Danio rerio: one gene and its partner. The protein of the gene in region 1 purifies or fractionates together with the protein of each later gene. This does not show direct contact. Links are inferred from orthologs where the notes say so. Each region holds a gene or a part of one and is shown on either strand. Other genes may lie near its edges. The genes, in order: dpf1 and bcl7a.

What was found.
Region 2: the proteins of dpf1 (region 1) and bcl7a purify together in Homo sapiens (affinity purification with mass spectrometry; 3 studies listed by BioGRID and IntAct, counting the BioPlex papers as one, with this or other methods). This does not show direct contact. The link is inferred for Danio rerio from reciprocal best matches to the Homo sapiens genes DPF1 and BCL7A.

Annotation. Positions count from the first base shown.
Region 1 is NC_133190.1:16,350,125-16,353,950, forward strand, and holds part of dpf1 (zinc finger protein neuro-d4), read right to left. Parts: intron 1,752-3,826; coding exon 1,591-1,751; intron 1,496-1,590; coding exon 1,388-1,495; intron 1-1,387. UniProt on the Homo sapiens protein: May have an important role in developing neurons by participating in regulation of cell survival, possibly as a neurospecific transcription factor. Belongs to the neuron-specific chromatin remodeling complex (nBAF complex).
Region 2 is NC_133180.1:42,613,503-42,617,905, forward strand, and holds the start of bcl7a (B-cell CLL/lymphoma 7 protein family member A), read left to right. Parts: upstream 1-1,581; 5' UTR 1,582-1,646; coding exon 1,647-1,738; exon of another isoform or gene 1,739-2,577; coding exon of another isoform or gene 2,578-2,579; intron 2,580-2,658; coding exon 2,659-2,740; intron 2,741-3,136; coding exon 3,137-3,233; intron 3,234-3,618; coding exon 3,619-3,774; coding exon of another isoform or gene 3,775-3,792; intron 3,793-3,882; coding exon 3,883-3,980; intron 3,981-4,403. Other genes in the region: cfap251 (cilia- and flagella-associated protein 251), read left to right, coding at 1,063-1,184.

The DNA of each region.
Region 1 (3,826 bases):
ATGAAAAATGCATTATACATCATTTATTAACTAGAAGAGTAAAGTTCAGACACTCGTAACTTTATGGTGGCTTGAGAAAGCCTAGTCTGAAAGTTTGAAGTAGTTTTAAAGTTTAAATACCTAAAGTAGTTTTTAAGAAACAGTTGGCATAGATAGATAAGTACATATATGTTAGCATGTTTCTAGTATGGATTGGCATGTTTCTTGCTAGGCGGTTGCTAGAGTGTTTTGTATGGTCGCTAAAGTGTTGCTATGTGGTTGCAAGGTGTTGCTAGGCAGTTGCTAGGATTTTCTGAGTGGTTGCTAGGGTGTCCTGAGTGGTTGCTAGGCAGTTGCTAAGGAGTTGCTAGGGTGTTCTGAGTGGTGGCAAAGGCTTTGCTAGGCGGTTGCTAGGATACTCCAGGTCATTGCTAAGGTGTTGCTAGGTGGTTGTTAGGGTGTTCTAAGTGGTTGCTAAGGTGTTGATATGTAGTTGCTAAGGTGCTCTGAGTGATTGCTATGCAGTTTCTAAGTCATTGCTAGGGTGTTCTGATTAATTGCTAGGCGGTTGCTAAGATGTTCTGAGTGGTTGCTAGGCAGTTGCTAAGGTGTTGCTAGGAAGTTGCTAGGGTGTTCTGAGTGGCTGCTAGGCAGTTGCTAACATAAATTAGCATGATTCTAATTTGAATTAGCATAGTTCTAGCATGGATTAGTATATTGCTATTATGAATTTGTATGTCTTTAGTATGTTCAATGTAAAGTCAATGGCAATTTTTTTACAATGTAAGTCTATGGAACAGTTGCTAGGGTACTGTAAGTGGTTGCTAGGGTGTGGCTACTAAGTTAAAATATATCATTGATTGGCAGATTAGTAGTCTGAGTTAAATGAGCCCAAACTTAATTCTGTATGACAGTCTGGAGCAGAGTTATGAGGTCACATAGTTTGGTCTAATGTTAAGTCAATGGGACTTTTCCGAAACTTCCGGGTCATTTTTTCTGACAAGTTGGAAAAGATATAGCAACCCGAGTCAGAGCAGTTTGGAGGTTTGCAGTTAGTTTGGTCTTTGTAACTTGAATGGTTTAGGAGGAGATGCATATAGAAACTAGTCTCAGAAAAAGATGGAAAGAGAATAATAAGTTTATGTAGTATAACAGTGTGTTGCCTTTTGTTATCGTTCAACACAGAATAATGAATTATTAAAATATCTTTAGGCTTGTTAACATTAGTTAATGCACTGTGAGCTAACTAACAATGTAGGACTTTATTTTCATTAACTGTTAACAAAGATTCATTTCTTACTGCATTTCTGTAACCGTTTTAATTTTTATACATTTTTTATTAGGATGATATGTGGAAAAATACGATTGTCATACTTACAAAAACATCAAACATTTAGTTTAATTTTACCGATTTTAAACTCGATGGGTCCAAGACGTGGATCCTCTAAGATGTTCAACCGTCTCTTCTTCCTCCAGCACCGTGCAGGATAGGTATAGAGCTGCCCTGGAGCCACACCTGGGTCAAACAGATGCAGAGTGGCCACATAAACACCCAAAACCCAAAACTTATGTTAAAGTCACCTGTGTAGTAGGATACACACAGACACACACCTGGCCCACGGTGAGTCTTCTCCATCCATATGTAGCAGTTACTCTGTGCTACACCTGTCTGGGAGTCGAGGAAGGGCAGGCGCATGGAGCGTTCGGCACAAAGTCGAGCATTATAACTGCGGCAGTGCTCAATCGCCTCACGATAAAACTCCTCACCAAGGCTGGAAACATTTCAAAAACAATCTAAGTTTAATACAGGTTATTTTTTTTCCTCTCATGTACGAGATTGTGGCCTGTTTCATTTTATTTTCTCTAAACAATGAAATAATGACTATGAAAATCAGTTAGCCACGACTAAAGATGCAAACTAACAAGTCATTCAGTATACCAATAGTTTATTTACCAAAAATCTTGTCACAAAATGAAACATTTCACGACATATTAAAGGCTCTAATTAAACAAAGTTCACCCAAACATGTAAATTTACTTACCCTCAAGTGGTTCCAAACCTTTGTGAGAGTCTTTATTGTTTTAAACACTGGTGAAGATATTTTGAAAAATGTTTGAAACCATTAACCAACAACCATTGACTTCTATAGTTGGAAAAACAAATACTATGGAAGTCAATGGTTACAGGTTTCCAGCTTTCTTCAAAATATCTTCTTTTATGCTGAACAGAAAAAAATATATAAACTCTTTAAGATTTGAAGCAATAATGGGGTAAATAATGGAGTAAATGATGACCAAATTCTCAATTTTGGGTGAACTAACCCTTTAAGCATGACAAAAATACCAAAATACTAATTCACTGCCATTTCAAATCCTTGTACTTTCTCAAATTCTTCAAACCAGTAGGTTTCACCTATGTGTCAAGAATGAGGCTTTAAAAAATTTAAAGCAGATATGACAGATTTGAATAACTTTGAATGACATCTCACCATGGATTTTTAATTAGGTTTAGTTCAGGACTCTAGGCTGTCCTTTCATTTTGTCAGTATTTTTAAAAAGCCATTTGAACTGGAAGTTGCTAAGACTTTGATTACTTATATTAACAAAGATTAATTTATTACTTAAATTCTTTGTCTTTTTTATACATTTGTTTTATGACGATGAGGTTTTAAATAATTTAAAGCAGATATGACAGATTTAAATAGCTTTAAATGACCTTAACATCCTATTAAGGACTTTCAATCAAGTGTAAATCAGGACTCTAGGCTGTCCTTTCATATTGTCAATATTTTTATTTAAAACCTATGTGAACTGGAAGTTGCTGACACTTTTATTACCAATGTTAACAAAGATTCATTTATTACGGCATTACTGTAACCTTTTCTTTTTTATACATTTGTTTTATTAGGATGTTACATGAGAAAATATGATCGTCATTCCCACAAAAATAACAATGAGGTTTTAAATAATTTAAAGCAAAAATGACAGATTTGAATTGCTTTGAATGACTTCAGGGGCAGCATGGTGGTGCAGTGGGTAGCACAATCGCCTTAATAGCTTGAAAATCCATGTGAACTGGAAGTTGTTGAGACTTTTATTACCAATGTTAATAAAGATTTATTTACCCCTGTATTACTGTTCATGTACTTTCAACTAAAACGGAATATTGAGTAGGGGGTGGGGCTTTCAGTGCATCATTCCCTCATAGCAAATTAACAGTAAGAGGGGCGTGGTTAAGAATATTGTGGCTGAAGCTGTCAAACTGACTTCATCAGAGAAAGACCATCACTCCAAACAAAGAAGCAAAAGGAAGATTACCAAAACTAACTTTTCCTTTTCAACTTTAACTTTCTATAGATTAATTCATCACCTAAAGAATAAAACTTTAAGGAACTGCTTTACTTGTTTTGCTGTGTCATGAGGTTAATTGTCCTGCATAAAATTGCTAGCTAGTTGGCAGGGAAGGAACTGAATGTTGCCTCTGATTAACGCTTTTATTTATTCCGTCATATACAGTGAATCCGGGAAGTATTCAAAGCACTTTTTTATATTTTGTATGTTAAGACTTTTTATGTCACAACCTTATTCCAAAATGGAAAAATTCTACACACAATACCCCATAATGACAATGTGAAAAAAAAATTTTTAAATTGTTGCAAATTTATTAAAAATAAAAAACCTGAAAAATCACATGAACAGAAGTATTCACAGCCTTTGCCGTGAAGCTCTTAATTGAGCTCAAGTACATTCTGTTTCCACTGTTTCCACACTTGAGATGTTTCAGCAGCTTAATTGGAGTTCACCTGTGGTAAATTCAGTTGACTGAACATGATTTGAAAAGGCATAC
Region 2 (4,403 bases), on another chromosome or scaffold:
GCAGAATAAAGAGCTCAGTGTCTGCGACACCTCCCTCAGCACCCGCAGGTCCTCAGTTATATCTGCGCATAGTGTGCCACATAAGAGGTCCGCGACACCTCACTTCATTTTCATAACCGGTCACTTTCGTTTTCTCATTGGGGTTGAGGGCGGCGTGATTGTCCTCTGCCTAGAGCGGCAGTTCAGCTTGCTCCGGCCCTGTGTGGGAAGCACCAACATGTTTTATCATGCTAAATGCATTTTAAGGTTCTGTTATAATGCTGCTTTGTGAGCTCTAACAAAACACAAAACATGTTAAACATCTTTGGTGTTTCCCACTACATGTTTTCTATAAAACCAAACCAAGGGTGGTCAAGGGTATTTGACATAATTAGCATGGGAACACAGGACATGGTCCTTGTCACTAAAACTGCTTATTTCTTTGGACTTAAACATTTTTGAAAGCATTACCAGAAAATAATAAAAAATATATAACACTATGAAAAGGCGACACGGTGGCTCAGTGGTTAGCACTTTCACCTCACAGCAAGAAGGTCACTGGTTTGAGTGCCAACTGGGTCAGTCGGCATTTCTGTCTGAAGTTTGCATGGTCTCCCCGTGTGGGCGTGGGTTTCCCCCACAGTCCAAAGACATGCGCTATAGGTGAATTGGGTAAGCTTAATTGTCTTTTGTGTGAGTGTTTCTGAGTTTGTATGGGTGTTTCCCAGTACTGGGTTGCAGCTAGAAGGGATCCGCTGTGTTAAAAATATGCTGGATAAGTTGATGGTTCATTCCGCTGTGGCGACCTCAGATTAATAAAGTGACAAAGCTGAAGAAAATTGAATAAATTAATAAATGAACATGTTCATTTACACGTTCATCTTACATGTTTTGCCTTTACATTGTTGGTTATGTTTTGGGTTAAATCATAGGCAAGTGAATGTGCAAATTAGCGTCTTTGCTAATAATGCACTCACATATATAACCTCTGCAATGTTAAAGACTATTTGGCTAAAATACATTATGATTTTCAAAATGTAGCAATCTTTTGATCTCAACAAACGTTACTCTTTCTCCTTTCAGGGTCTCTGTTGGAAAGTGTGCTTCCAGCTGAAATCACCATGGACGCATTTGCCTCAGATATATTGGGCTTTTCTGTCGCCACCCAGGAGCTCCATCAAGAACACCACGGACAGGAGTCATAATATATTTACATTTCCCTGCTTATGTTCATGCGTTGTCAATAAGTAATGTATTTTAAAACAGATGGACTGTTATTGTGTGGTTAGCGAGCTGTTGTGTTATATGTTTGCGTTCAATTCTTTCGCATAGAGATAAAATCATACGAAAATAAAACATGTCGTTTGTCAACATGCTGTCGATTGAAGTCTCCATTTTTTCCAGATACATTTATAAAACGTGTGTTGATGTCGTGGTGCTGGTTTCGATTCGCTCGTCTAGCTCAGCAATCTGATAAAATATCGTTTTCTTTGCTCTGTTCGCCAACAAAGGAGCGAAACGCGTACCCGCATTGACCGTGTCTCTCATGCTTCGAGGGCATTTGGCTTCAGCGCAGGCGCACAAACCCCGCCTCTCTCCTGTGCTGTGTGCATTCGCATTGTGTCTAAACAGGCAGCGAGCAAAAAGATATTTTACCAACAGCAGTAATGTCGGGCAGGTCGGTTCGAGCGGAGACGCGGAGCAGGGCGAAAGATGACATCAAGCGGGTTATGGCTGCAATTGAAAAAGTGCGGAAATGGTAAGAGAGAGCGTCTATCCGTTAACGAACAGCACAGACAGCCTGTGGGGGAGGAGAGACACCGAGAAACAATGAAATGAAAGCGAAGAGAGCGTTTATTCCACTCCAATTTCACTCAGATGTACTGTTTCTGCGATTCTGCGCGCGGCTGCTCCTTTGTCGGCTGTGTGAAAACATAGTTTGGGAAAATGTAGATCGCGTTTTTTCTTCCATTAAATTTTTATGTGGGTTGAACCTAGAAGCCATTTCGTTGCAGTCACATGAAGGCTTTGCTGTTAGAGCCTGTAATGCCGGCTGAATAGTAACCGAACGGGCTGACATGAGGAAACTAGAGTGAACCGTCCGTACCGAACAGAAAGTGCCGGTGAACGGGCGTTTGACTCGTTCATCTCGTGTTGAAAGTGAGAGAGTCGCGCTTTGAGCGGCGGCGCGTGAGGAGAGTTTGATCCACGCGCGGGGTTTTAAACTCAGCCCTGAGCCGCAGTTTCACATACACTTTTTTACACTTCAAGCAACTGCTGGGGATTTCGTTTAAACTTAAGTTTAAGTTGAATTAAGGGTTTTCAAACCATGACAAATTATTTGTTGGACTAACAATAATTACCAAAACAATATTTATTCTATAAAAGTATACATGTTAAATGAGAAACAATCGTGTTTTTGTGGCAACGTGCGATTAAAATTGTACACATCTGTGAGCTAGTGAACTGCATTATTATTAGTATTTATTTTTATGATAATAATTATTTACTATTGATATCGATAATTTGTTCAGTTGCATATTCTGCAAATGCATCTTGCCTAAATAATGGCTCATCTGAGATTTCTTATGCCTCTAAATGTAAGTGATTTAGTGGTTTGTCCTCATTTGTCTGGCGTTTCCTTTGTCTTTGATATCTAACAATAACATGCATCTCCAGGGAGAAGAAATGGGTGACTGTTGGTGACACGTCACTGCGAATCTACAAGTGGGTACCAGTGACGGAGCCCAAGTCAGATGATGTAAGTGACATTTATTTACAATAACGCACAGCTGTTGCAGTTTTGATAACCTAATAATTATTGTAACATTATGGACCACAACCAACAAATTCATTTGAAAGTTGGAACAAAATAGTCAAGGTAAAATATGACGCAAATGACTTTTTAATGAGTAATTCTATAGTTATTATTTTTTTAATTTAGTAAAGGTAAATTAGTAGTGGTATTCGTTGAGGGGGAAACATATTTCAGTTGTAGCATAACACAGACCAGTATTATTGTTTTTAACAGAGATTAAATTCATATTTATTTTAAATAAAATAAGTTAACTAAAATGAGTCGTATTTAAAACAGACACAACATATTTTACTATCTTCTTCATATGCCTTGATTGCAATATGTATTTATGTCACACAGAAGAACAAAAATAAGAAGAAAGGCAAAGATGACAAGTATGGCTCTGAGGTCACGACCCCTGAGAACAGCTCCTCTCCTGGAATGATGGATATGCATGGTAAAACTGTACACCTAAACACATCTCAATGTTTTACCTTTTTCAAATTAGTATTACATGCAGTAGTCTTTAAACCAATTTATGTGAGAATTTCAAATTGTGTTCTTTGTGATCCTCAAACAGTTGGTCTAATATGCATGACTAAGATTTTGAAGTGTTACCTGCTTTTTATTAGAAAAAAATCATTATTATAATTATTAATGATGGCAGCTTTGAATGTGCATTTTTTCCTCTTAACCAATAGAGGGAGTTGATGAAACAGTTTTACTCTGTGAACTGGTTATTTGCTATGCTATTCCGACCTGTAACCACCTATTAACAGTTACAAATGCATGGACATTTTCAGATATTAAAACTTTTTTTGTTTCTATTTTTTTACCCACAGATGACAACAGTAACCAGAGCTCGATTGCGGACTCTTCCCCATTGAAGCAGGAAACCAGCAACAACACTAGTCCAGCACCTGAGCCCATGGCCGCTTCTCAGAATGACAGCAGTGACTTGAAAAACGACCAGTATCCTTCCAAACAGCCTTCATCTGGTCAGGATCATAAGAGTGGTTTGTGCATTGAATCCTCTAGAGGCTTACTATCCACTTGTCTGTGTTTTTGGTTTGTTTGTTTTAATGAAACCTTGTCATTATTTTCAGAACAAAACCACTGCTCATCGGAGTCTATGACAAGCAAAAGGGACAGCAAGTCACAGGGGGATTCAGAAAGCTTTTTAGACTCTTCCAAATCGGCCCAGGTACATACATACAGCATCACTTGCATATTTATTCATAAATCAACAGTTTTAAAATAAGATTTAAAATAGTTTTTAAAATACATCCATATTGCTCAATGAGGTGTTTAATCCTAAATACAGCAAAACAGCTATATTGTGGATTAATGTTACATTTCATGATTCATATTTTATTTCATAGAACAAAGTAAAGTTGTTCCTAAACCTTTTATCCTAAAGCTAGAGATGTGCTGTTGTGAACCGAGGCTTCGAAGCATGTATCAAAAAATAATACATCTCGCAGTAAAGCAGTGTACCGGAGTTAAATTTGTTTTGCCATAATCACATGATCAGTGACGTACGAAGCTTTATTTTTACCCATACCCACATGACTGCTTTAAATTTTGATTTAAAGGTTTAAACATCCTTGCAGGTTAGGAAAGTGTA